Linked DNA regions of Pelodiscus sinensis. The protein of the gene in region 3 interacts with the protein of the main gene of each other region in a biochemical or structural test. Links are inferred from orthologs where the notes say so. Each region holds a gene or a part of one and is shown on either strand. Other genes may lie near its edges. The genes, in order: UNC119, PDE6D, ARL2 and TBCD.

Region 1 (7,893 bases), on a different chromosome or scaffold from region 3:
GGTGACATGGGAGGAATCACGTGAGGATTACCTGTGGTGTTCCCTCCCTCTGGGGCATCTGGTATTGGCCGCTGTTGGCCAACAGGATACTGGGCTAGATGGACAGGTGATCTGACCCAACCTGGCCGTTCTTACGTTCTTGGTACTTCTGTGATCAGCAGAGGCCAGAAAGACTTGAACCCCCAAGTCCCATTGCAACATGCTAGAGGCACACGGCTGGAAAGCACAACAGCCTGTTCCTCATCAATCAGCAGGGCTAATAACTCAGATGTGTTACCCCACAGTGACTAGCCTCCAAAGGACTGGTTCCCCCTTTGAACCTACACAGCACAAGGGGTCACCTGGAGGCATTCTCCTGCCCTCTGCGCAAAGTCCCCAGTAGAGACCAGCAGCTCCATGGATACTTTGTGCATGGAGGAAGAGAAGCTCAGAGAGCAAAGACTCTCTTCCACAGCCATAACCTGCCCCTCCTCTTGCAGCAGTGACCAACATAGGGCATGTGGGCTCTCAGCAAAGCCAGCTGAACAGAAGAGGAGTTTAAGAACAGACTATGGCAGAATCACAAAGCGATTTAGAAGGCACAGAAAACCCCACGCGAAACTATTTTAAGGAACAATCCTGGGTTACAAGCTTAGCAAACCATGGTTTTTCTCCCTGATCCTCTTCCCCACCCCAAGCCAAGTGGAAGGTGGGAAAGTCACTGCAGCTCCCCCCATCCAGTGAGTTACGTTGATGCTGTTCACCCCCAACTCCACAGCCAGGCACAATGGCAAGAAGTGCCATCACCATTCAGTGCTGCCCCCAGCACCCAGGGCTCTGCCCACAGGGCTGGCTCATGCATAGCTGTCTTGCAAACACAGGAAACCAGGCCACAAACTTCAGATTGAACTTCAGACCAGGGCAGGTGTCTCTGGGCATCAGCTAGGGAACATGCAGCACAAAGCCACCACCTCAAGCTGTCCCATAGTCTGTCCACACGGACAGAGAAACATTGTGTCCCACTGAAGCTGTCCCCTCTAACAACAAAGCTAAAGGCTGAAGGAGCTGGGTGCTTCTGAATTCGGAGACTTAGTTGGCCCTGCATTTTCAGGGTTTAAGCACCAGCTCCTCAGCCTACACCATCAATGCCCCCCTCTTCGGGGGAAGGTGCTGTCCTGTGCCACCCCTTTGTCCTCAGGCAGCCCCCAGAGACACAGCCCACATGCAGTAAATACCCAGTGGCAGGGCTGGCCTTCGGGAGATGGAGCGAGAGGACAGACAAAATTCAGCAGGTCTCCGACGTACCCCCCACCTCCGCCCTTGCCCAACTGGGCAAAGCAGGGCCTCTGCCCTGGCACAGACTGCTGGGCACACAGACAGGAGGGAAGGGCCGGGCCAGGCTAGCAGAGGCCTTAGGGAACAAGGGGTCACTCCAGCCAAATGGGGACTGGAAACAAGGCAGGAGCCCTATGCAAGCCCAGGGCCCCAGCCAGCCCGCTGGAGGGTGGGCACACCTCCCCCTGCAGGGACTGGAAACAAGGCAGGAGCCCTATGCAAGCCCCGTGCCCCAGGGCCCCAGCCAGCCCGCTGGAGGGTGGGCACACCTCCCCCTGCAGGGACTGGAAACAAGGCAGGAGCCCTATGCAAGCCCAGGGCCCCAGCCAGCCCGCTGCAGGGTGGGCACACCTCCCCCTGCAGGGACTGGAAACAAGGCAGGAGCCCTATGCAAGCCCCGTGCCCCAGGGCCCCAGCCAGCCCGCTGCAGGGTGGGCACACCTCCCCCTGCAGGGACTGGAAACAAGGCAGGAGCCCTATGCAAGCCCCGTGCCCCAGGGCCCCAGCCAGCCCGCTGGAGGGTGGGCACACCTCCCCCTGCAGGGACTGGAAACAAGGCAGGAGCCCTATGCAAGCCCAGGGCCCCAGCCAGCCCGCTGCAGGGTGGGCACACCTCCCCCTGCAGGGACTGGAAACAAGGCAGGAGCCCTATGCAAGCCCCGGGCCCCAGGGCCCCAGCCAGCCCGCTGGAGGGTGGGCACACCTCCCCCTGCAGGGACTGGTAACAAGGCAGGAGCCCTATGCAAGCCCCGTGCCCCAGGGCCCCAGCCAGCCCGCTGGAGGGTGGGCACACCTCCCCCTGCAGGGACTGGAAACAAGGCAGGAGCCCTATGCAAGCCCCGTGCCCCAGGGCCCCAGCCAGCCCGCTGGAGGGTGGGCACACCTCCCCCTGCAGGGACTGGAAACAAGGCAGGAGCCCTATGCAAGCCCAGGGCCCCAGCCAGCCCGCCGCAGGGTGGGCACACCTCCCCCTGCAGGGACTGGAAACAAGGCAGGAGCCCTATGCAAGCCCCGTGCCCCAGGGCCCCAGCCAGCCCGCTGCAGGGTGGGCACACCTCCCCCTGCAGGGACTGGAAACAAGGCAGGAGCCCTATGCAAGCCCCGGGCCCCAGGGCCCCAGCCAGCCCGCTGCAGGGTGGGCACACCTCCCCCTGCAGGGACTGGAAACAAGGCAGGAGCCCTATGCAAGCCCCGTGCCCCAGGGCCCCAGCCAGCCCGCTGGAGGGTGGGCACACCTCCCCCTGCAGGGACTGGAAACAAGGCAGGAGCCCTATGCAAGCCCAGGGCCCCAGCCAGCCCGCTGCAGGGTGGGCACACCTCCCCCTGCAGGGACTGGCACCCCCGAGGAAGGGGAAGCGAAGGGGCAGGCCGGGGCCCACGGGGGCGGGCCCCTCTGCAGGGGCAGGCCGGGCCGAGCACTCACCGCCCGTGATTTTCTGCAAGCCCAGCACGTCCTCGGGGCCGATGAGCGGCTTGCGCAGCAGCTCCTGCTCCTCGGGGCCCGCCGCCCCGCCGCCCCGCTTCACCCGCATGGCCGCGCTGTCCGGCCGGCCCGCGCGACTCTCGGCGCGGAGGGCGGGCTCACTCATCCCCCGCCCGCGGCTTCGGCGTCTTTGCCGGCAGAGCCCAGCTGCCGCCGATCCGCCCGGGCCTAGCTCCGCCCGCGGCGGGTGGGGCCACGCGGCCCCTCCCCGCCGTCAGTGGCCGGGAGTTCCACCGACCCTGCCTGTCTGCCCCGTCTCCAGCCCAGCCGCGGTGCTGTCAATGCCCCCGCCGGGCTGCGGCCAGATGCTGGCTGCCTTCCCTCCAAGCCAGCAGAAACCGGCTACCGCGGCCAGGGAAAGACATGCTCGGTTGCCTTCCCGCAGGCCAGTCTGTAAGTCCCCTCCACTCAGCGCCCCACTGCCTGCCCTCATCCCAACTCTTCTAGGGCAGAAATGGCAGAGGGTGTGGGGAAGGGGCTTTCTGGTCAGGTTGCTAGAGGGGAAGCCTGCGAATCAGTCTAAAGTGCAGATGATACACACGGGAGGTTCAAGGGCTTTCTGCAGTTCACAGCCATCCTCTATATAGCCCCTTCTTCTGTAAGCCAGTTTTCAGAGGACTGTGACTCAGCTGCAGGAGCAAGACAAAGGCTAGAGCAGTGGTGAGCAACCTGCAGGCCATGGGCCATATGCAGCCCGTCAGGGTTCTGTGTGTGGCTTAAGAGACATTTCATTCACCAGTGTCCACATCCGGAGGGTCAGATTATGCTAGTTTCTGTCTCTGTCATTTTTTCCCCTACCACTATTACTAAAGTGACAAGGGCATAGGAAGGGAGGGCTGGTCACACGCAACACTGACTGTGAGAGTTCTGTGCTCTCTGCATCCAAAGTGCTGTTCCAGTTCAATTGGCACACCCCACAAATTCCAGTTAGCAAAACTACCCCACCCCAGAAGACCACCTTGATTATAAGTCTTGTGGCCAACTGAGATGAAGAGCCTATGCTGCCCGTTGTTGGTATAGAGCTTGCAGTCACTGCCTGACCCCTCTCCTCTTCCCAAATACTTTAAGCAGTGTGGAGCTGCTGGAATTTTTAATCCAGAAATTTCTTATGCTTCTATTTCTGAAAAGTAGCTGTTTAGACCCATCAGGATGCTGGCTCACATCCTTATTTTAAATGAGATATAGCAAACTGAAAGGCATTTCCTAAGGAGATTTAATAGACATAATTAAGGTGGCTACTGTCAATCCAGACTAGTAGCAAATGCACATTTTAAAGAGAAAAGCAAAGGCAGTTGCAGGTTTATTTCACACTACTTCAATGTTTGCGCACGCACACACAGGTTACCTTACCAGTTCAGCTAGCCTTGCACTGGATGTGCCTGGAGTTGGATAATGCAACTTCAGGAACGGTGTAGGCCACGCAGCATCAAGTTGCAATTCAAAGAGCACTTGCTAGCAGTCTACACTGAAGTGTGTGATAGGTCATGCTGTATCCTCATTTTCAGCAGCAAAATTGAATCAAGAAGCTAGGAGTCCATTCAAATCCTGCTGCTAGGCCAATCCAGGCAGAAGTTAGTTCAGTTCTACCCAATGCTGCAAACTAATGGAAATACACCCAACTGCATCCTGATCCAACTCTCAGCCTCTTCCAGCCTTCTCCATTACCAAAACAGAAGTGGGGCTGGCTTTCAGCAACACTGCTTCTCATTCAAAGTAACACTGGCTGTACCTGGAACATAATGGACAGCTGAAACTTCACTCTGTTAGGAGTTTCAGGCCCCATGCAGTAGGAATAGTAAGTACAGCAGGTCAAGTTATGCTAACAATACTAGGTGGTTGCGTCTAGACTGGCAAGTCTTGCCAGCTGTCTACACTGGCCGCTTGAATTTCCGCAAGAACACTGACGATCTCATGTAAGATTGTCTGTGTTCTTGCGGAAATGCTATGCTGCTCCCATTCGGGCAAAAGCCCTCTTGCGCAAAAGCATTTGCGCAAGAGGGCCAGTGTAGACAATGCGGTATTGTTTTGCGTAAAAAAGCCCCAACTGCGAAAATGGCGATCAGGGCTTTCTTGTGCAAAACTGCATCTAGATTGGCATGGACGCTTTTCCGCAAAAAGTGCTTTTACGGAAAAGTGTCCGTGCCAATCTAGATGCTCTTTTCCGCAAATGCTTTTAACGGAAAACTTTTCCGTTAAAAGCATTTGCAGAAAATCATACCAGTCTAGACATAGCCGGCAAGGGGATCAGGATGAAACAGCAGGAGCTGGATTGAGGTGGGGGTAGTGGAATGGGGGAGGGGAGGTAAGAGGGCAGTAGGAGCTGCTGCCCATGACTGAAGCCCTGGTGCCTCATTACACCTCACTGGTGTAGCGTAGGTAGGAAACAGCCCAGACGGCTCTGATTCCACAGCTGTGTTTTGAGACATCTTGCCTGCTACAACTGCCCTTTTCGGGTAAGACTGCTGGATAAAGGAAGCAGGCCACAGTGGGTATCAGAATCAGTGGTTATGAGATGGATCTAGTTACTGACCAATCAAGAGGACTGCATGCTACAAACCACACAGGATAAGATTCTAGCCAAGAGCACTGCTTGGTGCCTCAGACCTGTCTGCTTTGATTGTTCATTTCAAGGCAGCTCAGTTAGGGAGGACAGCTTGCAGCCTAGAATCATAGAGCTGGAAGAGACCTCAGAAGGTCATCAAGTCCAGCCCCCTGCTCTATGCGGGACCAATTCCAACTAAATCAACCTGCCAGGGCTTTGTCAAGCCGAGACTTAAACATCTCTAGGGATGGAGACTCCACTACTTCCCTAGGTAACCCATTCCAGTGCTTCACCACCCTCCTAGTGAAATAGTTTTTCCTAAAATCCAACCTGGACCTCTCCCACCACAACTTGAGACCATTGCTCCTTGTTCTGCCATCTGTCACTACTGAGAACAGCCTCTCTCCATCCTCTTTGGAACCTCCCTTCAGGAAGTTGAAGGCTGCTATCAAATCCCCCCTCACTCTTCTCTTCTGCAGACTAAACAGACCCAACTCCCTCAGCCTCTCCTCATAAGTCATATGCTCCAGCCCCCTCATCATTTTGGTTGCCCTCCGCTGGACCCTCTCCAGTGTGTCCACATCCTTTTTGTAGTGGGGGGCCCAGAACTGGACACAATACTCCAGATGTGGCCTCGCCAAAGCCGAATAAAGGGGAATAAAGACATCTCTGGATCTTCCGGCAATGCTCCTCTTAATGCAACCTAATATGCCATTAGCCTTCTTGGCTACAAGGGCACACTGGTGACTCATATCCAGCTTCTCATCCACAGTAACCCCCAGGTCCTTTTCTGCAGAACTACTACTTAACTGGTTGGTCCCCAGCTTATAACTATGCTTGGGATTCTTCCGTCCCAAGTGCAGGACTCTACACTTGTCCTTGTTGAACCTCATCAGATTTCTTGCGGCCCAATCCTCCAATTTGTCTAAGTCATTCTGGACCCTATCTCTGCCCTTAAGTGTATCTACCTCTCCCCGCAGCTTAGTGTCATCCGCAAACTTGCTGAGGGTGCAATCCATCCCCTCATCCAGGTCATTAATAAAGATATTGAACAAAACCGGTCCTAGAACTGAACCTTGGAGCACTCCGCTAGAAACTAACCACCATCCTGACATCGAGCCGTTGATTACTACCCGCTGGGCCAGGCCTTCTATCCATCTTTCTATCCATTTTACCGTCCATTTATCCAATCCACATTCCCTTAACTTGCTGGCAATATTGTGGGAGACTGTATCAAAAGCCTTGCTAAAGGCAAGGTATATCACATCCACTGACTTCCCCATGTCCACCGAGCCAGTTACCTCATCATTGAAGCTAATCAGATTGGTCAGGCACGACTTGCCCTTTGTAAATCCATGCCAACTATTCCTAATCACTTTCCTCTCATCCAAGTGCCACAATATGGATTCCTTAAGGATCCCTTCCATGATTTTTTCAGGAACCGAGGTAAGACTGACCGGCCTATAGTTCCCTGGATTGTCCTTCTTCCTTTTTTTGAAGATGGGCACTACATTTGCCTTTTTCGAATCCGGGATTTCTCCCGATCTCCACGACTTTTCAAAGATAATGGCCAAAGGCTCCGCAATGACATTTGCCAAACCCCTCAGTACCCTCGGATGCATTAAATCTGGGCCCATGGATTTGTGTATGTTTAGCTTTTCTAAATAGTTCCTAACCTGTTCTTTACCCACCAAGGGCTGTCCATCTTCATCCCATCTTGCGTCACTTAGCGCAGAAGTCCAGGAGCCAACCTTGTCCATGAATACAGAGGCAAAGAAAGCATTGAGTACTTCAGCTTTCCCCACATCATCTGTCACTAGGTTACCTCCTTCATCCAGTAGGGGCCCCACACTCTCTCTGATCACCTTCTTCTTCTTAACATGCCTGTAGAAACCTTTCTTGTTATCCTTCCCATCCTTAGCCAATCACAATTCCGTTTGCGCTTTTGCCTTCCTGATAACCCCCCGGCATTCTCGAGCTAGACATTTAAACTCCTCCCTGGTCATTTGTCCAAGTTTCCACTTTTTGTAAGCTTCCTTTTTGTGCTTAAGTTCACCAAGGATTTCCCCTGTAAGCCAATCCGGTCTCCTACCACGTTTGCCTCTCTTGCTACGCGTCGGGATGGTTTCTTTCTGTGCCTTCAATAAGGCTTCTTTAAAATACTGCCAGGTCTCTTGGACTCCTTTCCCCTTCATGTTAGCATCCCAAGGGATTCTGCCCATCAGATCTCTGAGGGAGTCAAAATCTGCTTTTTTGAAGTCCAAGGTGTGTATTTTACTACTCTCTTTTCTTCCTTTGGTCAGAATCCTGAAATCTACCATCTCATGATCACTGCTTCCCAGGTTGTCACCCACCTCCCCTTCCCCTATTAGTTCTTCCCTGTTTGTGAGCAGGTCAAGCTGCGCACGGCCCCTGGTCGGATCCTTCAGCACTTGCGTCAAGTAGTTATCCCCAACATTCTCCAAAAACTTCCTGGATTGCCTGTGTACTGCCGTATAGGTTTCCCAACAGATGTCGATGCTAACAGATGCTATGCCTGGGGCACAGCAGAGCA
Region 2 (7,066 bases), on a different chromosome or scaffold from region 3:
TTACATCAGACAGCAGCCTTACAAATGAAGTCTAAATCATGCTTCTTTAAGTATTTAAATGATGTTTTCTAATGAATCAAAAGACATCACTTTCCATGTGATACTTGCTTTTTGTCAATTCCTCCATCAGGGCTCAATTTCTATACTATTCCAAGACCCTGTCATTTTGAAGGAGCAAATGAAACTGAACTTATGTTGCTCCCAAATGATGGTGCTCAGCATTGTCATTAAGCTACTAAGATGGGCCATAATGTGTGTTAAAATTAATTACATTAGTCCTACACTGGTCTACTGGAAACTATTTAATTTCACATTTGCATATGCAGTGGTAGTATAGCTATGTCAGTCCTAGGAATTAGAGGGAGTGAAGGTGGGTGAAGTAATAACTTTTATTGGATTAACTTCTTTCACCAACAGAAGTTGCTCCAATAAAAGATATTGCCTTGCCTACACTATCTCTGAGGGTAAGTCTACACGACAGTGCTATTTTGAAATAATTTAGTCTGCATCTACACAAGCAGGCAGTTATTTCAAAAGAATGTCAAAATACTGTCAAACTGAAGGGTTTCTTACTCCTACTCCTGTAACCCTCATTGTACGAGGCATAAGGGAATAGAATCACAGAATCACAGGAAGAGACCTCGGGAGGTCATTGAGTCCAGCCCCTTGCCCAAAGCAGGAACAATCCCAACTAAATCAACCCAGCCAGGGCTTTGTCAAGCTGAGACTTAAAAACCTCTAGGGATGGAGATTCCACCACTTCCCTAGGTAATCCATTCCAGTACACTTCACCACCCTCCTAGTGAAATAGTTTTTCTTAATATCCAACCTAGACCTTCTCCATGAAGGAAAAAGTTCTATGTAGATGCTCCCAATTTTAAAATATGCTACACATAGCTCAATTTGTGTAGCCTTATTTCAAGTTAAAACCTGCGTAACCTAGGTCAAAGGCTCATGTTAGTACAGACAAGGCCTCCATGTAAATGAGCATAGTTCATCAAACTCATTGAGCATGAGTCTGGTTTATACCAATACCCTTTTATTCCACTATGGCAGTTTTACACTCACTTCACATTGCCAGAGCAAAATACAAATAAGTGATAAAAGCTGCTTCTCACCATTGAAGTAAAACTAGTTCTAGGTGTTTAATGCTGTACAGATGCACCCTTACATTTGCACAACATCTTCCCTTGCTAAAACTGAAAAAGTTTATTATTTTAATCAACTATACACAGGGATTGTATCCGTCCCATCCATCACTGAAATATAGCTGCTGCTTAAGTTTCCTAGCCCGCAAATGCTGGAGGGCCAAATAAAAACTAGCAGCTGGAGTTTATGCCCTGTGCACGTCTGAGGTCTTGAGCTAGTGGGAAATGAAGACTCTAGCTTGTTAGCTTAAATTTGTCAAAAGTTTAATCTTCTCTAATAGCCTGAACATCTCAGCCTTGGTAACAATATTCTTGACAACTGAAACATGACAGCTGCATGTACAAGGAAGAACTTCCAATGCTGCTACTCCAGAAAAAATATTTTTAAGACTGACTGGATACAGGGGGATCACTGCTAAAAAGAGGGGGGGGGAAATACCATACTTTCACAGGGAGAAACATCTGCTCACACTTTCAGATGGTAGCTAGTTGATTAAATCCTACATAGAACAGCTCAGAACATCATTCCACAGCTGTTAGAGATTATATACAAACTGATGCAGCAAAAATCTCAGCAAGCAAAATAACCAAAAATACTACAGTACCACAGTAGACACTACTACTTTTGCTCTCTTGAATTTGATCAGTAACTACAGTTTCCCCTAGCGTCCAGACCAAGACCAGCACCTTCCTACTTTACATTCATTACACTGAAAAATGAAAGGCTGGGTCTTTTAAAATAAACTTACCCTATTTCTCCTACTCCTTTCACACATGTACTCCTTTTTAATGGAATCTTTCCACCCTTTACTAAAATCCTGGGTAGGCGAGGAATCCAGGATTTCAATTCTCCTTCTTGCCTTAGGTTTCACTTCTTGCTCAGTTAAACAAAGCACATACAAATTTAAGATGAGCATCAGCGGGCCCCATGGAAGGGCAATGTATACCATGTTAGTGATTACACACAACAAGCACTCTAGATAGCAAGCTGTACCACATCCCACTGCCTGATAGGCAAAAGAGGGGGGGATTTTTGGGTCAACCAAAGGAACAAGGTAGCTACTTATCTACACCTCTTTTGGACTTTGAAGTTAGGCGTTTCCCTGCCAAGCAGAGGTGGATCCTTAAGTTGCAGCCACTATTCAGAGCGTAAGGCTGGGAAAGAAGGGATAGGACTGCGGTGAGAGGCAGTGATCATCCGCGTCTCAGGACTTTGCCCACACAGACACACCTGCCTACTTTTCATTCCCTCGCCCAAGCTCTGCTTCCCGAGCAAAAATGAAACCACAACCCTGGAGCACCAGGCACGGCTGCTCGCCAGCTGCCCTACCTGCTGTCCAGCAGCAGCCACGCCTGGACAGCTCCCGCGAGCGGATCAACTCGGCAGGGATGGGGGGTCCGGGGGGACGGCGGGTCCCGCCGCGCAGCGGGAGACGCGGGACGGCGCAGCCGCTGCCCCCCCCCCCCCCCACAGGTGTAACCCGGCACGGAGCCTGGCGGGCCCCCCCGCAGTTGGCCGGGGGGGGGGGGGCAGCGGATCTGCGCCCCGCTCCTCAGCACGCGCCGGGCTCGGTGACAGCACCGGGGGGGGGGGCCCTGCTCGCCGCCCCTCCCCCCCCGAACCGGCCCCTCCCCCGCCCGGCGGATACAGCTTGAATCCCCTCAGGATCTCCTTGGCCCGCTCGTCCTTGGTCGACATGGTCCCGCGGCGGCTCCGCTCCGCGCCCCGGAGCCGGGCGGGGGGGAGGGGGGCTGGGCGCGCTCACGGGCCTCACCGGGACAGCGACCGCGGCGCTCGGGACGCTGCACCCGCCACCGTCCGACACCCCCAACCAGAGCGGACCGGAGCCGCCCCGCCCCTGGGAGCGCCGGCCAATCGCCGCGCCCCGCGCCACCGCGCCCCGCCCCCTCGCTCCCGACCGACAGCGCCCGCAGCCAATCAGGCAGCGCCGTCTGCGGCGCGCAGGAAGGGAGGCTGCGCGGCGGTCGCTAAGGGGCACGTCCCAGCAAACTGACGTCGCCGAGAGACGGAGGCGGGAGCCAGGAGCGGAGCTGCAGCTGCGGGTCTCGGCCACAAGGGGCGCTGCCGCGCAATTGCGCATGCGCCGCTGAGGGTGCTTCGCTGCGCCCCCTGCCGGCGGCAGCATTGGCTGCAGGGGCAGGGAGCCCCCATCCTTAGGACCTGGCACACTTGGGCAACCCCACCCCCCAGCAGCTATAGGAGTAAAACAGCTGGCTGTGGCCCCCAGCACCACCACCCCTTGCACTGGGCCTCCTGCTGCAAAGGGCGAGTGCTTCCGCCTGCAGTCCCCCCTCGAAGGGCTAACCATCCGACATCCCAACATGGGCCAGAGAGCAACTCGCATATCCTGGTCAGCCTGTACCCCATAATGTTCCCTAGGGTGTGATGTCAGCCTTGCCTGCCTGCTCCCTCCCCTGTATGTAGCTGCACCCCGACTGGGTATAGTGCATGGTCCCAGCTGGGGCACTGAGACCACTTGCAGAGAGAATAATGAGTCTGCTCTACAGCCTTAGCTGAGATCCAACTGACTTTTAGCTCAAGTGCTAGAGCAGGGGAGGGCAGGGGCGTCCCATGAACCTAGGCAAACTAGGCAATAGCCTAGACCGACGCTGGCCGGGGCGCCCCATGATTACGTCACGGCCATTGACGGCAGTGCAGGCGGGGCCGCTGATCGCGCCTTCCGCCTAGGGCGCCAGCTGCCACAGCCGGCCTCAGGCCACTCCTGGGGGTGGGCAAAAGGGCCTCCGTGGGCCAGATCCGGCCCACCGAGTGGGTTGATCTGGCCCACGGAGGCCCTGCCGCTTCCCCCACCCCCAGGCCAATTAGGACCTGGGTGTGGGGAAATGCGAAGCTTCCTCCCACCCTGGCAGGACCATGCAGCGCTTTGAAGCACCATGCGCTCCTTGCAGAGTGGGAGGAGACATCACGTGCTCCCCCGCCTCCAAGTGCTGCTTGGCCTGGGGGTGGGAGGAGTGCGCAAAGTTTCCTCTGCCCTCCCCTCGTCCTGCAGCACTTCAAAGTGCCATGCACTCCTCGCAGGGTGGGAGGGAGCTTCGCACACTTCCCCACCCCTAGGCTCTGATTGGCCTGGGGTTGGGGGAGCATGCAACGCCTCTTCCCGCCCTGCCAGGGGCATGGGTGCCTAATGGGAAGGGGGGCAAAGGGGTTCCCCCACCCCGAGACCAATCATGGTCTGGGGCTGGGGTAGCCCAGAAGCATCCTGGCCCCACCAAAAATTATTGCCTCCCCCCCTTGTGCTAGAGGTTAATGCACTAAGCTCCAGAGGTCGCAAGTACAGTTCCGCTTGCAGCATTTCACAGTCAGGCCCTATGCCCGTGGATGGACATAGAATCATAGACCACTAGGCCTGGAAGGGAGCTTGAGAGGACAGCGAGTCCAGTCCCCTGCCCTCACAGCCGGACTCAACACCATCTAGACCAGACATGTCAAACAGGCGGCTGGAGGGCCACATGCAGCCAGATCGAAGTTTTTTGTGGCCCACCACTACATTTTATAAAAGGATAAAGTGCGGCCTGCTGGCTGCTCGGAGCACATGGCCAAGTGCAGATCACACACGGTCAGCCGCTCTACACACGGCACCGCAGCAACTGCTCGCGGCCAGCTGGGCTGCTCTGCTCACGGTCCCCAGCACGTGCTCCTGGCTGGCCGGGCTGCTCTGCGCAGGCTTCAAGTGCCTGCTCACAGCTGGCCGCTGTACTCACACCACCCCAGCACCCGAGGAAGAAGTGTGTGGCTAGGGTTGCCAGGTAGACCCCGCCAAAAACCGGCTGGGACGGGGGTGGGGCTGGCCAGGAGGGGGGCGGGACGGGAAGCAGAGCTGGCGGGGGGGGGGGGGGGGTCTGGGGGCCGTGGGGCTCGCCGGGAGAAAGGGGGGAGCTGGGAAGCAGAGCGGGGGGGATCGGGGGCCACGGGACTGGACGGAAGGAGAGGGAGGCCCAGAGGAAGGGGGGCGGGAAGCAGAGCTGGTGGGGGGGACGGGGTGCAGCCACTGGCCACAGCCGGAGTCCTTCGGGCCGCGGCCCCGGCAGGCACTCCCTCTAGTTGCGGGGGCGGGGGTAGGGGGAAGGCCTGCGAGTCACTCCCCCCGCCCGGCTTCTGCACACAACCAGAGGCTCCCAGCTGGGAATCGGGGCTGCAATTGGTGCTGGGAGCCTCTGGTCACGTGCAAAAGCTGGGCGGGAAGAGTGGCTGGGACCAGCCACTGCCTCCGCCCCGCCCAGCGTTTGCACGTGACCACAGGGCTACCAGAGCCAATCACGGCCCCGCCTCCCAGTCGCTCCTCCGCCCCCACCAGGCTTCCCTCCAGCGCCCAGCAGGGAACTCAGAAAATACCGGACATTGTACGTGTCCAGTATTTTCAGAATTTTTCTACCAGTCAGAGGGTACAAATACTGGACTGTCCTGGCAACCCTATGTGTGGTGGGCAGCTCCGGGACCCAGGCATTAGGTTGGGGAGGCTGGGAGTGCCTGGCTCTGGGGGAAGGGGGAGGCATTAGGTGGGAGGGGGCTGGGAGTGCCTGGCTCAGGGGGAGGGGAGAGGCATTGGACCACAGACCTTTAGCTCTTCCCCTTGTACAAGCATACAATTCAGTGTTAATTGCATGGTGTCACATACTGTTTCTCAAATAATATGATAGCATGCAGTTTTTTTCCACCAAATGGAATGGAATCAAGAGTACTGTAATATATACACACACAAGGGGCTGATTTGTGGTTCCCAGTTTAATTTTCATATGCCCTGAGTTTAAAATACCTAACTGTACTGTGTTAATATTTGTCATATGATTTCCTTGGAATGTAGGCATTGCCAGATCAGCCAATGGGACCCTCTAGTCTAGTCCAGTATTGTAACTACAAAAGTGGCCAATACAAGATGTGTCATAGGATGGGGTATGTGTGTGCTCGCACATGTCCACAAGAAATGATAGTGGGCAGTTATCTCCAGATAGGAAATGTTTCTTCTTCACTCCTATCAGTTTGTGCTGGCTTATGACCTGAAACAGAGTGGGTTTTAATCTGTTTTTTATCCTACCTATGGTTATTTTAATGTTTTCATTATCAATAAGCCTTCATTCTTTTAAAAGTCTAACAATCTTTTGACCTCACTGCTATTAAATGGCAGTGAGTTCCACAGATGAATTGGGAAAAAAAGTTTCCTTTTATTATTTTTTTGTCATGTTTTGGCTGTTTGCTCATCAATTCCCACTTTGCATACCTGATATATGATGAACCAGAGGCTCAATAGATTGTCTAGGAGTGATGTTTTGTGGCAAGGGACTAGGGCCGTGAAGGAGGAAAGCCCGAGACTTAAATGTACTTAACCAATTACAAACTTTATTGACTACAATTTGATTATATTCAATTACTGTCTCTGATTTGTTTAAGACAACGTAGCATGCAAATAAAACATACATTAAAGAAATTCAATACAAAAATAATAAGCTGATGAATAATATATTAAGCAATACTTACAAACCCAGTGACAATTATGATACACAGACAAAAACAACGCGTAGCATGCTCCGGATTCGTACACCCTTTCGTGATTCGGTGGGTGGGAGGCGGCCTTGGGTGATCAACCCCTTAGCCAGGCTGGACGATACGTTTCCTCTATCTTGATACGGAACCTCCCCGAACTTAGGGCTCAGGGTGCTTTATACTATAATTTTAACATCCGGTACCATATTAGGGTTATTTGATATTTTGTGGTACTGTGTACATATCAGGGTTCCTTCCTTGTGATATGACGTCTGATTGTGGTCAGTGCCTGATGCAGACATGATTGGCACACGTGAAAGCTAGCTATGTTTTTTGTTTCCCTGCTCCAGGTGCTTCTTAACTGATGTATATGACAGCTCATGTCTCTTATTCCTAT
Region 3 (7,589 bases):
GCGTAACTCTTCTACTCCATTCCCCTTCCAGAGCTGGGAAGAGAAGAGCTGACTCCAGTCCCTCCCCACCCTACCCTACAACCAACAAACCCCACTCCCAGTGGTGCTGGAACACATTTTTTTGGGGGGGAGGGGAGAGGGAGCAGGGGTGCTGAGCAGTGCCCTCACTCTTATCCGTCCATGCCCCTCACTGACCCAGGCTGGGGCCCCTGGGCACAGGACTGGTGCCCTGACATGGGGACAGCAGTGGGGACACTAGGCCCAAAACCCTGTACCTATGTCCATGTCCCTTGACCAAGATCCCTAGTTTGCTTCAGGCCAGTGGCTCTTACCTCACGAATGGCATTGGAAGACAGTGCTCCTGGCAGGTCCTGCTTGTTGGCGAAGATGAGCAAGGTGGCTCCAGCCAGGCGCTGTAGGGAGAGAAGCACAGGCTAAGCTGCATGGCCCAGTTGTCTTGGCCCCACCATTCTCCTGTTAACCCTTCAACCACCCTCCCAGTCAGTTAGCAGTTGGACCACAGTTCTCCTGCTCTGTCCCAGACAGGGATTGTTTTTGAGTCTTGAAAGACCTGGAAACAGGGGGACAAGGATCCTCTCTGCAGCAGAGGCAGGCCCTGCTTCCAGCAGACCTGCACCAAACCAGGCCCCTCTGGCAGCCCAAACCAAAGCCTGGTTCAGCCAGAAGCTGGCCCACCCACCCACAGGATAGTGCCCAAAAAATATACCCCCTCTCCAAGGGACTTCATATAACCTATTGCATATATTCCACCTCCTTTCCCTCACAGGATACATCTGCCCATTCTCCAAGACACTTGGCACACCCTCCTCCCCCTTTCCTCCACAGGTGCAGTTCCCACCTCTTCCACCAGGAGGCTCTGCAACTCCTGCTTGCAGACCTGCAGGCGCTGCTGGTCAGCACTGTCCACCACCCAGATGAGACCATCTGTGCTCTCAAAGTAGTTGCGCCAGTAGGAGCGCAGGGATGTCTGGCCTCCCACATCCCAGATGTTCAGTTTGAAGCTGGGGAACAGAAGAAAAAAGACAGAGTATGGAGGTAAAGGGACAATCAGGCAAGATCCCAGTATGTAATATGGAACAGGCATCCTGGACGAAGGAGGGGATGTTTCTTCTGTATCTGGCTGGCTGTGAGAAGACCAAACCTTCCTGGCTCCAAATTCCTTAAGAACCACAGAAAGTGAGCAAGGGGCTGAGCTGGTGATTTGGAGAACCTCATCTTGCTTTAGGTAAGCCTGTGGGGGCAGAAGAACCACACCCCCATAATCCAAAGGGTTAAGCTCAAGGGGGAGCAGGAACTGTGAGGTATCTCTGTACAGAACTTGGAGTAAAGAATACAGAACTGGCTGGAGACCAGAGTTTATTAGGCAGTGAAATCAAGGGTGTGGTATAGAATCACAGAACTGTAGGGTTGGAAAGGCCCTTGAAAAGTCATCAAGTCCAGCCCCTTGCACTGTTGGTAGGCCCCCAGCAAACCTATACCATTCCAGACAGGTGTTTGGCCAACCTCTTTTTTAAAAAGTTCCATTGGTGGTGATTTCCCAACCTCCCTTGGAAGCCTATTCCACAGTTTAACTACTCTTATAGTTAGAAAAAAATGTTGTAATATCAAACTTAACTCTCCCTTGCTTCAGATTAAGCCTGTTGCTTCTTGTTATCCATGTCCACTGAAGGCAAGACAACTGATGATGGTCCTCTTTAAAGCAGCCCTTAACAGAGCTGGACACAGTATTCCAGAGTACAGTGGAACCATTACCTCTTTTGAATTACATACACCACTCCTGTTAATACACCCCAGAATAATATTAGGCCTTTTACACCTGCATCACATTTTAACTCAATTTGTATTATTCAATTTATTTGATTATTCAATTTGTAATCCACTGAAACCTCAAGATCCTTTTCCACAGTGCTACTGCCAGTGGCTAAGGGGATTTGAAACTAGGTCTGGGCAGAGGTTGAGGGTTTGCAGTCTGGGGAGAGGGCAAGGATCAGACTTAGAAGGGACAATCCTGTTCAAGGGATGGATGGGAGGGGCAGGTTTTGGGCCCATGGATGGATCAGACACTCTGCCCGGCGCTCACTCCCTGTGCTCCAGGGTTTTGATGTTGAAGCCCAGTGTGGGTGAGATGGTGTCGATATCCTCCCCGTTGAACTTCTTCAGGATGGTGGTTTTGCCAGCATTGTCCAGACCACTGTGGAAAATGTGTCAAGGAGAAGGCAGCTCAGTACATGGGGGAGGTGGGACATTCGTGTCACAGCTGGATGGTGGCTCAACCCATAAAAAAGAAACTCCTAGTAAACTCCCCCATCCATCACCCTTTGGTACACTCCTCTTTGTATTCACTGAATACAGGACAGCTGGTACATCCCACCCCCCTACCCACAACATAGAGAACCTACCCAGGACACTTGGTAGAGCCCAGATCAGATACATCCCTTCCTCTCAAACCCTTGGTATAGCCCAGGCTCTCCCACCCCTACCCCCAACCCTTGGTACAGCCCAGATCCCAGGCCCACAAGACACCCCCCCAACCTTTTGTGCAGCCTAGCCCCCAGCCCCACAGGTTACACCCCTCCACAATACTTGGTACAGTCCAATCCCACAGGGCACACCCCTCCCCCAGCCCTTGGTACAGCCCAACCCCCCAGCCCCACAGGATACACCTCTCCCCCGACCCTTGGTATAGCCCCATTGGAAACCCGCCTCCCACAAAATCTTGGTACAACCATCGCCGCTCGCACTTAAAAGCCCCTTTTATCCTGCAACGTTTGGTACAGCCCACCCTCCCCTTGCACAAGGATACAGCATGAGAAGCCGCAGTTCCCGCTCCTTCTGTCGCATCTTCTTCAGGATAGTCAGCAGCCCCATCACCAGCAAACCAGCCGCCTCTTCCGCCCCGTCCGGCACCGGCTTCCCACAACCAGCGTCCATTGGGCTACGTCGCCGCCAATCATCATGGATCTGATCACTATTGGGTACACTCACTACAAGTCCCGCCCTTGCCGAAAACCAACGAGAGCAAGCCCTGCCACCAGGAGAAATACTCACTGGGCTAGATTTTCCCACGTCGCCACCTAGGCGTCGGGACTGAAATCACAGATGCTAACCCCAGGAATCACAGAGAGGGCGGACCATCGGCTGGCCCACAGCGTCACCTACGGGCGGAGAGTGGTACTACAACCCCTCAAAGGGGTTCATTTACAAGTCGGTAGGGAAAACTAGCCAAGCTAAAAATGGGACAGTTGGATGGGACCCCTTCGAAGCCAGGTGACCAGCCAAGGGTGAAAGCAAACTGCTGCTGTGGGGGCTGTGAGAGACTGTAGGTGGAAGAATCAGCTAAGCAGCAGTGCACCCCCAACAGCCAGGCTAGCAGCTACTGGCCCTGACCCCACCAGCTGGGTTCCTGCCATCTCTGCAGGCAGCACAGATCCCAGTGCAGGAGAGAAGATGCACTGGGGGCTTGGCCATGTCTGGGCCCAGTTTGTCATAGCACAGGTTTGTGTTTATTTTGATGCAGATTCTGGAGATAGAGCTAAGAGCAAACCGGCCATCCTTATTGAAAGCAAGGCCTCCTGCACACCAGATCCCTTAAGACAGGCAATGGCACCTTTGTTTTCACCGGTGTTAATGTCTCCCATGTTACTGAAGATTGACTTTCCGCAATCACAGCTCAGAGCTTCTGTGCACATTACACTGGGGGTAAGGACTGCTATGGGGTGCTGATTCTGCAAAGCACCCATTACTTGCATAGCTGGTGGATGATATACTATGTTTAGATTAGGGATGTTAAGGAATAGTCGACCAGATAGAGGCAGCAAAGGAGGTACTTCAAAGCAGCAGCACTGCACAGCTGATCCCGGCTCCATGCTGCGCTGCCACTTTGAAATGCACAAGAGCTCCCACTGGGGACTCTTGTACATTTCACAGCTGGCATGCTGCCTGCAGCCCCGGAATTCCACATTCCTCCTTTGAAATGTACAAGAGCCCCAGCGGGGGGCTCTTGTACATTTCAAAGGAAAAACGCAAAAAGTGCCTATTGACTAGTCGATGGAAATTCCATTGATTACTTGACTAGTAAATTAACGGTTACTTAACATCCTTAGTTTAGCTATCTATTACTGAAAGGAGAGGGTGCTGCAACAGCTGCAAAGCACCTAGCTGGTGCTATGCAATGTGTGCAAATGCTTCTGCATCTCTCTACTAGAAGTGCTGCAGCACAACCAGGCAGCTATTGAAGGTGGTGAGCAGAGAAACACAAATTCAGTACAAGTAACCAACAGCAGGGAGATGTGCAGCCATTCTTCACTTCACTGTCACCGCCAAGTCTCCCTTGCCTATAGAACAGACTGAACTATTTGATCAGTGAGAAAACTGGTGTCACCATTCTGGGACTGAATGTCATACTAGCAGGTGATAGTGGAGTATGACCTCTGGAGAGCAAAGTCCCCTTTACCTGAGCAAATGAGCAAACACCCTCTGCCTACCTCCACAGGGTCCAACCCTCAGGAGTAAGAGAGAAACCGGTCCTTCAACCCTGCACAGGAGTGAGCCTGGAGAGAGGGGACACTTTTGCTTTCCTAAGGGGAATGAGGCTACTGGCAACTAAAGTAAACAATGTTGTAGGAAATAGTATCTAGGAGGGCACTGACTTTATTAATCACCAATAAGCTTTTGGGAGAAGTTATTTCTCTATTCAACTCGTCCCAGGTAGCAATGAGATCACATTGCTCTCCTCAAAAGACGAAGGGCCCGACTGTTGTTTGCTTCAGTTTGTTCCATTACGACTGTCAGCTGGGAGAGGGAAACTGGCAAATATAGGACAACCCCCAGTGATCATAGTGATAGTGGTAAAAAGGCACCCGAGGCTGCTATAGCTTACTCCCCTTCTTGTAGAGCAGCAATGGGCAACCTAGGCTAGTGTGGGGGCCATTCAGGCCCTCCATCTCAATGGGCCACAAGATTGTTGTACCCAGGATGGTCTCCTGGGCTACGGTAGTTTTGCTAACTGTGCTTGTGTACCTCGTGTGCTGATTGAACCGTAACAGCGCTTTGATTATATACATATCGCTTTAGTAATACCAGTAGGAAAAAAGCTAGGCAGACAGAACTTAGCGGACAACCCCATGAATGAAAAACTGTAAAGAAAAATATCTTGTGAGCCACACACAGAACCCGATGAGCAACATGCGGCCCCAAGGTCACAGGTTATCCACCACTGCTGTAGGGAACAGCTCAGAACTGCTATACCTCTCTGACTGCATCCAACTGGAGGAGTGCAGCATGGTACTGCTTTAAATAGGCCAAAACCAGTCCTTTTGTATGTAATTTGTTGAAAGTGGACCCAATCCTGTGTCCCACAAGCTTCTAACCCCCTTGGGTCTGAGAAGAGACTAGTCCCTGTTGCTGGGTCTCTAGGGTGCAGCCTGGCTACTCTCGGCCCCAAAAGCAGTGCAGCAGTCACTAGTTGCTTACACCTCTTCCTCCCACATGCCCACACCCATCTAGCTACAGGGGCTTCTAGCTTAAAGAACAATGTGAAAGGAACACAGGTTTAGTAGAGGGAGTTCTTTGTTGCCCCAGACACACACAACCCACCAGTGGAGTTATATCTCTTTGCAAAGTAACAGGTACCAGATATGCCACCTGTCAGATCTCAATTCTGAGAGTCTGAGGTGAGCACCAAGTTTCAGGCTAGGCCTGTACAAGGCCCCTATCCTCTATGGCATTCAGGTTCCATTACCTTCAATGGAAGTTATGGGCTGAAATACCTTTGAGGATCTGGGCCTAAGGCACCTTTACTCTCTGCTTTAACAATGTAATTTACACCCACTACATGATCCCTTTACTGGAGGGGGCAAAGGAGCTATGGTGTGAGAATCTGGCTGTAGCAGTTTGATGTGAGAACACCCTTTTGCCTGGCTGGTTTCATTCCACCAGAGCTATCCCACTCTTTTCCCCTAATAGCACACACATCTCAGCTCAGTGCTGGGAAGGATTCCTGCTGTCGGGCTCTATTAAGGAGCTGCAAGTACTTTGAAGAGAAAATGAGGAATAGGGAAGGTCATTAGAGGCAGATCCCATTCTAGGACCACACCCATAGCCTGGGAACTGTGTTTCCCCATTAGGAGAGCCTGTGTGGCCTAGGGGGGTAATTCACTGGACTAGGGCTCTGGAGAGTGGGGTTCTCTGCCACAGACCTCCTGGGTGACCCTGGGCAAGTCACATTCCTTCTTTGTGCTTCAGAGTCCCCTGAATGAGTGATGATTCTGACCTGCTTCATAAAGTGATCTGAGATCTGCTAAGAGCCAGGTATTGCCATCATCTGGGTGCCTTAAAGCCTCCCCTCCTTTCCCCCTCCCCATTGTGAGGCAGGGATGTGCTATTATCCCCATTGTACAGATGGTGGAGCCCAAATGACCTGCCCAAGGTCACACCAGCAGTCTGCAGCAGAGCTAGGAATTAAACCCAGTTGTTTCTAACTCCTGGGCTGTTGTCCAACCCCCGAAGCAAGCAGCCCCACCACTTGCTCTGTGTGCAAAGTGGGAGGGGAGGGATGGTTCCTTCAGCAGCCTGAGATCAGCGGGGAGAAGATGTCAGGGTCTGTGGCTGCTCAAAGAGAAGCCCCTACGCAAAGCCAGCAGGTCATCTTCATTGACTGGCAGGGAACCAGGGACTGAGGCAGAAACAAAATAATCAGCAGCCAGCCCAATTGCTACTTAAACAAGGATGTTTATTAGTCACAAACCTTGTCCCTAGAGCCTCTGCCTTTGTGATGCTCTACCAGCTGCCACCCACCAGTCCCAGAGCCCCACGCTGAGCAACACATTTCACTCAAGCCCAGTTTGGGCTTCAGCTGAGGGCTGGAGCCAGGGTTCAGAGATACAGAAGAAGCCAGCTGCTCTCAGAGATGCTAGGGCTTCACAGAGAGGGCTGCCCTTGGTGTTGAAGGAGTTCCAGTGCTAAAGATCAGGGGAGCTTGGCATTAGCTAACAATGCAGTTCTGGGTTCACACACAGCTCTTCGGGTGCTCCTCAGTCCTGGCTTGCAGCCGCATGCATTCCCAGGCTGGGCTCCACTCCCTCCCCCCCCCAGCTCTGCCAATGCCCCTTAATCCCAACCCGACTCCCCCTCTCCATGGTTCTATCAATGGCCTTCTCAATCCTGACCCACAATCCTCTGGGTTCTCCTCCCAGATCTGCCAATCCCCCTCAATACCTACCACAGCCCTCCTGCTACCCTACCTTGGAGCTCCTCTCACACAGCAGCCAATGCCCCCCCCCCCAACTCCCACTCATGTCCTGCACCCTCCACTTCTGAGTCTCTTCCTAGGCTTCTCCTCAGCTGACACTGCCAATCTGGCTAGCGGCGGGGATGGTTTAGTCCACTGGGGAGTAGCAAAATAAATTCAAACCTGTCTCATGTAATTCACAAGGTCAAGTTTAACACAGCTCTCTGAACATGGGAGGCTTTATAGTTACTGCTGCTCAGAGTCCCCTAGACAGGGTAACATATTCCCCTGCTCCAGCCTACAAAGCACCAAATGCTAGTTTTTTTACCCTGGCTCTTGG
Region 4 (7,751 bases), on a different chromosome or scaffold from region 3:
CGGCTGAATCTGGACGCCAGTTCCGACTTACATACAAATTCAACTTAAGAACAAACATACAGTCCCTATCTTGTACGTAACCCGGGGACTGCCTGTACACCAAAGTTCAAAAGAACTAGTGAAAATGTGCTAAAACATAATTACATTAATTTTGTAGCTTACTGTCTCATCCCCTAAAAATTACAGTCTAGGATGGCTGTGCTTATAGGTGAAAAAAAATATACAGGACATGGATGACAAAATAACTATATATCAGAAATAACATAAATACAACCACATTATGTCAAAACAAAGATCCATCTAGCCCAGTATCCTGTCTTCCAACAGTGGTCAATGACAGATGCCCCAAATGGAATGAACAGAACAGGAAATCATCAAGTGATCCATTCTCTCATTCCCAGCTTCTGGGAAACAGTGATTAGGGACACCATCCCTGCCCATATGGCTAACAGGAATGTAAAATCCCTTTTAGCTGGTTAAACATAACACTAACACTGCATTTAACCATTGAACCAATTAAAGTGGTGTGGGTGGGGGGGCTGCCACCATGGTGGCTGCGCCACCCCCGTTGCAGGGGCTGCTAGCTCAGCTCATGGCTGGGCCACAGGCTGGGGCTGCTCCCAAGTACCAGTTAACCATTACCCGGTTACATCCCTAATATACCAGAGCATACCCAGTAAAGATCACCTGTTAAGCTTAAGTTACTTTGTTAATAGTCACATAGGAGGCAAATGAATGAACTGATGTAACAACTCATATCTTCCAACTCCAAGACCTGTACTTTAACAGCTAGATGGCAATACTTCATTTCATTACACCAATAATCAAACAGCAGCATTACAAGGACAGGAACTAAAATAGATCTGCTTCCTGATTGCATTGACTTCACTAGGACTAGGACCGAGCCCAAGGATAGATAATTCACCCTTAAAGTCAATTATTAAAAATGTATCTAAACCTACTGCTTGTTCATTCTGGAATGGTTTCCTTGATATTTTATGACAGCTCAGACAGCCAAGATCTTCCACTATCACGACTAATAAGCTTGATATGAATAATAAGCTTGGAATGCCATAAGGGCAGGGGACTGGATTTGATGACCTCTCAAGGTTCCTTCCGGTTCTAGTATCTATGATTCTATAATAAAACTAATCTTCCTCAGAGCAAAAATTGGTCTAAAACATTAGTTTACCCTCTGTTCTTTAGCAGTATTTCAACTATAATAAAAAATATACCCCCTAAAGGTTGTACATCCTCAGACCTTACCTATGAATTTTTCAGTTGTCACCTCTCGTGTTCCCTGATCCCCATACACCCCTCTCAGGTTGTTAATTAACCCTCTGATTTCTTGACTCTCTGTGAAACTCTCCAATATATTTCCACTGGCAATGACATCTGGCTCCTGGCATCCGCTTTGCTCCTCTTCTGAGCCATCGCCTTCCATCTCACTCAATGCCATTTCCAAAACCAGCAATCAATTCTTCCCTGGTAACATAAGAACAAACAATACTTCAACCCCACATCACACATCAGGTAGAGTAAGATGAAAGAATAATCACCACAACCAAATCAACACCCCACACCAGGATACGGAGGAGGACTAATAGAGGGGCCACCATGACCCCAAAAATCCAATATAGGGGGCAGGATTGAAAGAGAAGTCTCCATACATTGGAATTTAACAGAGGTCACAAACTCATCACCCATGGGCCATCTACAGCTACAGCTTTTTCACATTCTGGCTTGGGAGTCTGTGTGGCCCAAAGAAGGCATGTCCCATAAACCCTATCCCCATCCCAATTCCATCCCTTCCCTTCCAAATCTCTTTCCTAGAGCAATGCAGCCTTGGGGATAAAGATATTAATTATCGGGTAATTGACTACTCGAATAGTTGATGCATATTTTCACTGACTATTCAATTAGTCCAGCAGTTCTCAAACTTTCTGAGCTCTGGAGCCCTTTACATGCATAAAAATTAATGCAGAGCCCTAGCTGTCTTGTATGTGTTGTACCTATCGATGTTTCCAGTTTGTCAACCTCACAGAGCCCCAGGGCTCTGCAGAGCACAGTTTGAGAAACACTGGGTTAGTCGATAAGGCACCTCCACCGTTGAAGCTAGCAGCCCACATAGAGAACGGGGTCAGTGGGGGAGCCTTCAGCTGATCCCGGACTCCACACAGCGCTGCCGGTGGCATTCAAAGTGGCAGCGCTGCGCTGCAAGGAACAGTTGACCCCAGGCTCCATGCGGCGCTTCTGCTTTTAAGTACCCCCCCTCTTCTCCCTGCCCTATTTGATAGAGGCAGCAAGGGAGGAGAGAAGCACCTAACAGACTATCCTGTCGACTAGTCCTTCACATCCCTACTGGGGGGCTCGCCCAGGGCAGTAGCTCCGCTCCGCTCCCCTGCTCTCCAGCAAGCACGGTGAGTACAGAGGGCCCGACCCCTGCTGTGCCCAGTGACAGATCTGCCCCCGCAGTAATTCCAGGAGCCTCATCCCTCGGGGGAGGGGACCTGGCGAAAGGGGTACTATGGGGGAGAGGGCGGGGGGCTGGCGGATGGGGAAAGACCCCCCCCGCTCGCAGGGACTGCCGGGGGGGGGCTGTAGGGGGCCCGCGGGCCGTGTGAGACCCCGCGCCCCAGGTGCCGAGAGCCACTGAATCCAATTGCGCAGACTGGGGTCTGCGTGGAGCCGGGGTGTGGCCGGCAGCTCCAGCGCGCAGCCGGGGCCCAGCATCCCTCAGCCGCGGGAGGGGGCTCGTCAGAGGCGCCACCCACCCGCAGCGGGCTCCCACTCCCGGCCCCGGGCCAGGCAGAGGAAGCTGCATGGACCCCTCACGCGCTCCGAACGCAGGGCCGCATTACCCTGGCAACCGCGGCTCCGCTCCCGGGGGCCTCTGCGCGGATCCCGGCCCAGGCTCAACTCTGCCCGCCCAGCCTGCCGGCTACGGGGCGCCGTGCGGGACAGAACAACGCGGGAACGACGCCGTTCCCGAACGCGGCCTCTCCCTGCAGGGGCGGGGGCGGGGCTCGCAGAGCTCCACGCACAGCCCGGGGGGGGGGATTTTTGTCTCCTCAGCCGCGGGCTTCCCCTTGCCCCGCGGGGGGGCCTGAACGTCTGGTGCCGTTACAGCCTCGCACGGGCGGCGTCCAGGGGCAGGTCCCCGAGTCCTGGGTGCCCGCGCTGAGGTGCCGCGGGGCGCGCTCCCGACGAGCCAGGCAGCCACCTCCCCTTGGAAATCAGCGAGCGGCGCTTGGGGGCTTCGGACGCTCCGGGCCTGCACAGTTCAAAGCTGGGCGCGCACGTGTCCACAGTGCTGGCCCGTACCTGACCCAGAGAGGGCCTGGTCCCCCATTGGCACTCAGCTGTCCTGGCCCGAGGGGGGGCATCTGCCTCGTGTTCTCCCTTTACACCAGGCTGAACAGCTGGCTGATCAGGGAGAACCCTTCTGGGACAGCCCTTCAAAATGGGTATGGGAATGAAGACACCTCGGCTACGTCTACACTGGCGGGTTTTGCGCAAGGGCAGCTGTTCTTATGCAAAAACTTGCCCGTGTCTACACTGCACGTGTGTTCTTGCGCAAATAAATTTACAGTCTAGCGTTGTAAAACAGGGCTTCTTCCGGAAGAGTTATTCCTCTCCCCAGGAGGAATAAGCCCTTGTACACAAGAGCTCTTGCGCAAGAGGGCAGTATAGACAGGCAACATGAATTTCTTGGGCAAGAAACCCCTATGGCTAAAATGGTCATCAGAGCTTTTTTTGCGCAAGAGAGCATCCACACTGCCATGGACACTCTTGTGCAAAAGCACATACCAGTGTAGCCGTGCTGTTGTGGAAGACTTTTTGCATAAGAACTCTTCTGCAAAACAGTTCTTGCACAAGAAGCTGCCAGTGTAGACGTAGCCCTGCTGTATGCAGTGACTGAGCTAATGAAGTCTGACTAATGCTGATACACTCCAGTAAGAATGTAGTGTCTGCCAGCCCCTAATCAACCTACTCATAGAGCTTCCCTATCAAGCCTTAGGGTACGTCTAGACTACATGCCTCTGTCGCCAGAGGCATGTAGATTAGGCTACCCGACAGAGTAAAATGAAGCGGCGATTTAAATAATCGCCGCTTCATTTAAATTTACATGGCTGCCGCGTTGAGCCGACAAACAGCTGATCAGCTGTTTGTCGGCTCAGCGCGATAGTCTGGACGCTCCCCTGCCGACATCAAAGGGAGTTGTCGACAACCCAGGTATGCCTCATCCCAGGAGGCATACCTGGGTTGTCGACAACTCCCTTTGATGTCGGCAGGGGAGCGTCCAGACTATCGCGCTGAGCCGACAAACAGCTGATCAGCTGTTTGTCGGCTCAACGCGGCAGCCATGTAAATTTAAATGAAGCGGCGATTATTTAAATCGCCGCTTCATTTTACTCTGTCGGGTAGCCTAATCTACATGCCTCTGGCGACAGAGGCATGTAGTCTAGACGTACCCTTAGATTAGCTCTGGGTGCATGTGACCTGTTTGCAACACAGAGTATCCAAAATTCACACTAGGATGTCTGTGGTCCCTGGAGAGCAGCCCTATCCAACTCAGCAAATGCAAAACCCTGCTCCTATCAGTAAGCGCTGCACTGAATGTGTCTCAGCCAGACGTCACTCTGCATAGATTGTGAGCAGAATGGCTAGCAAACAATCAGAACATTCCATGGGCTTAAACTGTAGTAAGGGAGAACTAGGTTGGACACTAGGAAAAACTTCCTAACTGTCAGGGTGGTTAAGCACTGGAATAAATTGCCTACGGAGGTTGTGGAATCTCCATCACTGTACATATTTAAGAACAGGTTGGATAGACATCTATCAGGGATGATATAGACTGTGCTTGGTCCTGCCATGAGGGCAGGAGACTGGACTTGATGACTTAGTATTCTAGAAGTCTATGGTTTGGGATTTGTAACAGGTCCCATATGGAGAGAGATTAAAAAGACTTGAACTTTCAGTTTAGAAAAGAGGAGGCTAAGGGAGGATATGATAGAGGTCTATAAAATCATGACTGGTGTGGAAAAAGTGAATAAGGAAAAGTTATTTACTTATTCCCACGATATAAGGACTAGGGGTTGCTAAATGAAATTAATAGGCAGCAGGTTTAAAACAAACAGAAGTTTTTCTTCACTCAGTGCACAGTCAGCCTGTGGAACTCCTTGCCAGAGGATGTTGTGAAGACAAGGACTTTAACAAGTTTCAAAAAAGAACTAGATAGATTCATGAATATTAGGTCCATCAATGGCTCTGAGCCAGGATGGGTAGGAATAGTGTCCCTAGCCTCTGTTTGTGTGGAAATGGATGACAGAAGAGGGATCACATGATGATTCCCTGTTGTGTTCCCTCCCTCTGGGGCAGCTGGCATTGGCCACTGTTGGCAGACAGAATGCTAGGCTAGATGGACCTTTGATCTGACCCAGTATGGCTGTTCTTATGACTGTACTGAGACAGATTGGCTTGTTCTCCTCTGACCCAGAAGGGGAAGACCACTTCTCACCAGACCAATCAGAGGGGCAGGGCCAGAAGTATAAAAAGCAGAGTTGAGGGCTAAGTTGGAACCCAGCCACTGGCAGAGATGCATTCACTGAGGCTATGTCTACACTGGCAGCTTCTTGCGCAAAACAGTTCTTGCGCAAGGAAGAGTTCTTGCGCAAAAAGTCTTCTACAAGAGCGCGTCTACACTGGTATGTGCTTTTGCGCAAGAGATGTGCTTTTGCACAAGAGCATCCATGGCAGTGTGGACGCTCTCTTGCGCAAGAAAGCTCTGATGACCATTTTAGCCATAGGGGTTTCTTGCACAAGAAATTCATGTTTCCGGTCTCCACTGCCCTCTTGCACAAGAGCTCTTGCAAGAAGGTTTATTCCTCCTGGGGAGAGGAATAACTCTACCAGAAGAAGCCCTGTTTTCCGATACTAGACTGTACATTTACTTGCGCAAGAATGCAAGTGCAGTGTAGACACCCGGCAAGTTTTTGTACAAGAACAGCTGTTCTTGCACAAGAAGCTGCCAGTGTAGATGTAGCCTGAGTGTCTGTGCTGGTAGTAGACCTGGAAGAAGCTGATGATTGGTCTGGGCGACCTGGATCCTTGGCCAAACTGAACCCACCCCAAAGGAAGATGCAGACTAGTTTGCATTCCCTGGACTCCTGCTGAACTGACCCTGGAAGAGCTGCTTCTGGTGACATAGGTACCTAGCAACCAAGACACTTCTGTTCCATACACATAGAGGAGGCGTGTGGAGGTGGCCCAAGAATGGTACACTCAGCAGCCTGCAGCGGTGATAGAGTGGCAGGCCTGGATCACTGTTGACTCAATGGCAGACCACTTTGCCACTGGGAGATAGTGGAGTGGGTGGGCCTGTGTCCTGCCTGCCATTCAATCTGTGGGTGGTAGTCTCCTCAGGCAGATAGCCAGAGGCTAATTAAATATGCTGCTGCCCTTCTCTGAACCTGAACTAGAGCCTGGGCCTTAAATATTTGCTGCTTCATCTGCAATCAGATTAAGCTCACTAATTGCGGTGCTGCTCCACTCTAAACCAGAGGCTGAGTTGAACTGAGGCTACTCTGTCTAAATAGGTGACCTCTGTTTCCTATCCTGCTTGCACCTGAGTCTGGGCTATTAACTGATGTTACTTGTCCAACCAGGAGGCAAGCCTGAGGCATACTCTGGACAGAGGATGCTGATTCCCCAGCAACGAACCTCACCCTTGCCATAGTGGGGTAGTGTGACGGCGCGTTGGGGTTCCCCGCCTCCTGCGCCCTCGAAATGGCATGCACAGACTCCACCAACTGGTAGAACAGAGGGAGTTTATTGCCTCTCCAGAATACAGCACAGCACAGATGTCACCAGGTTACAGGGCAGGCCTAGGATGCCTCAGCCCCCCTTGATATGGGGGAGGGGTCTCGGCTTCTAAACCCCCCAGCCTGTTGCTGAGGCTGCTTCCTCCATGCTCCCAGACCCGAACTAAACTAACTCTCCTCCAGCCCTGCCCCCCAGCCAGGGCAGCATCCACCTTCCTTTGTTTCTCCCCATGGGGGGTGGCTGGTCAGACAGGTTTGGAGCCCCCTTTGCATAAGGACCAGACAGCAGAGGTCGCCACAGCCCTAGCAAGGCACTTCCACTACGTCACACTTGCCCAACCAGGAGGCAAGCCTGAGGCATACTCTGGACAGAGGATGCTGATTCCCCAGCAACGAACCTCACCCTTCCCATAGTGGGGTGGGTTGGCTCCCTTCTGACCTGGAAGGGGAATGGAATCCCACCCCAATCAATTACATGATCAGCACTATTGCATGAGCAGTTCCATATTGTCACTGTGGATGTTCAGTGTGTGTTTTAGCACAGAACAAGACCATGGCCAATCCTGAGCCCAGTCATACTCAGTTCTGGAAATGAAACCGTTTTCATACATTCGATGGATGGGAGAGAAGTGTCGTTGGTGCAGATACTAAAAATAGCTGCTACCATGTTACTTTTATGTCAAGAATGTTTCCTTCTTGCTGGCCATCACCTATCCCCAGAAACTCTCCACCACAGTTAATTCCAGCCCAATAGCTCACCCTCCAGCCACTCTTCAGCTCTCTTCCAGGACTATATTCCCATCCCATGTGGTAGGATTGCGAGCTTTGTTCCTGGAGGGTTAGCAACTTCACTCTGTTGCGTGCCCTCCTAGACCCCACCATCCAATCTTGTACTGGCTCTTTTTTGTCATGCCTCTTTGTATTATC

The links.
Region 1: the proteins of ARL2 (region 3) and UNC119 form a complex in vitro, tested with the Homo sapiens proteins (2 studies listed by BioGRID and IntAct, with this or other methods). The link is inferred for Pelodiscus sinensis from reciprocal best matches to the Homo sapiens genes ARL2 and UNC119.
Region 2: the proteins of ARL2 (region 3) and PDE6D are reported together in a solved structure, tested with the Homo sapiens proteins (2 studies listed by BioGRID and IntAct, with this or other methods). The link is inferred for Pelodiscus sinensis from reciprocal best matches to the Homo sapiens genes ARL2 and PDE6D.
Region 4: the proteins of ARL2 (region 3) and TBCD form a complex in vitro, tested with the Homo sapiens proteins (2 studies listed by BioGRID and IntAct). The link is inferred for Pelodiscus sinensis from reciprocal best matches to the Homo sapiens genes ARL2 and TBCD.

What each region holds. Positions count from the first base shown.
Region 1 is NC_134731.1:101,840-109,732, reverse strand, and holds the start of UNC119 (protein unc-119 homolog A), read right to left. Parts: upstream 3,001-7,893; 5' UTR 2,904-3,000; coding exon 2,738-2,903; intron 1-2,737. UniProt on the Homo sapiens protein: Involved in synaptic functions in photoreceptor cells, the signal transduction in immune cells as a Src family kinase activator, endosome recycling, the uptake of bacteria and endocytosis, protein trafficking in sensory neurons and as lipid-binding chaperone with specificity for a diverse subset of myristoylated proteins.
Region 2 is NC_134720.1:49,904,131-49,911,196, reverse strand, and holds the start of PDE6D (retinal rod rhodopsin-sensitive cGMP 3',5'-cyclic phosphodiesterase subunit delta), read right to left. Parts: upstream 3,016-7,066; 5' UTR 2,848-3,015; coding exon 2,798-2,847; intron 1-2,797. UniProt on the Homo sapiens protein: Promotes the release of prenylated target proteins from cellular membranes. Modulates the activity of prenylated or palmitoylated Ras family members by regulating their subcellular location.
Region 3 is NC_134721.1:34,795,690-34,803,278, forward strand, and holds the start of ARL2 (ADP-ribosylation factor-like protein 2), read right to left. Parts: upstream 3,016-7,589; 5' UTR 2,953-3,015; coding exon 2,825-2,952; intron 2,213-2,824; coding exon 2,102-2,212; intron 1,023-2,101; coding exon 860-1,022; intron 414-859; coding exon 333-413; intron 1-332. UniProt on the Homo sapiens protein: Small GTP-binding protein which cycles between an inactive GDP-bound and an active GTP-bound form, and the rate of cycling is regulated by guanine nucleotide exchange factors (GEF) and GTPase-activating proteins (GAP).
Region 4 is NC_134730.1:5,553,257-5,561,007, forward strand, and holds the start of TBCD (tubulin-specific chaperone D), read right to left. Parts: upstream 3,018-7,751; 5' UTR 2,862-3,017; exon of another isoform or gene 2,775-2,861; intron 1,486-2,774; 5' UTR 1,460-1,485; coding exon 1,267-1,459; intron 1-1,266.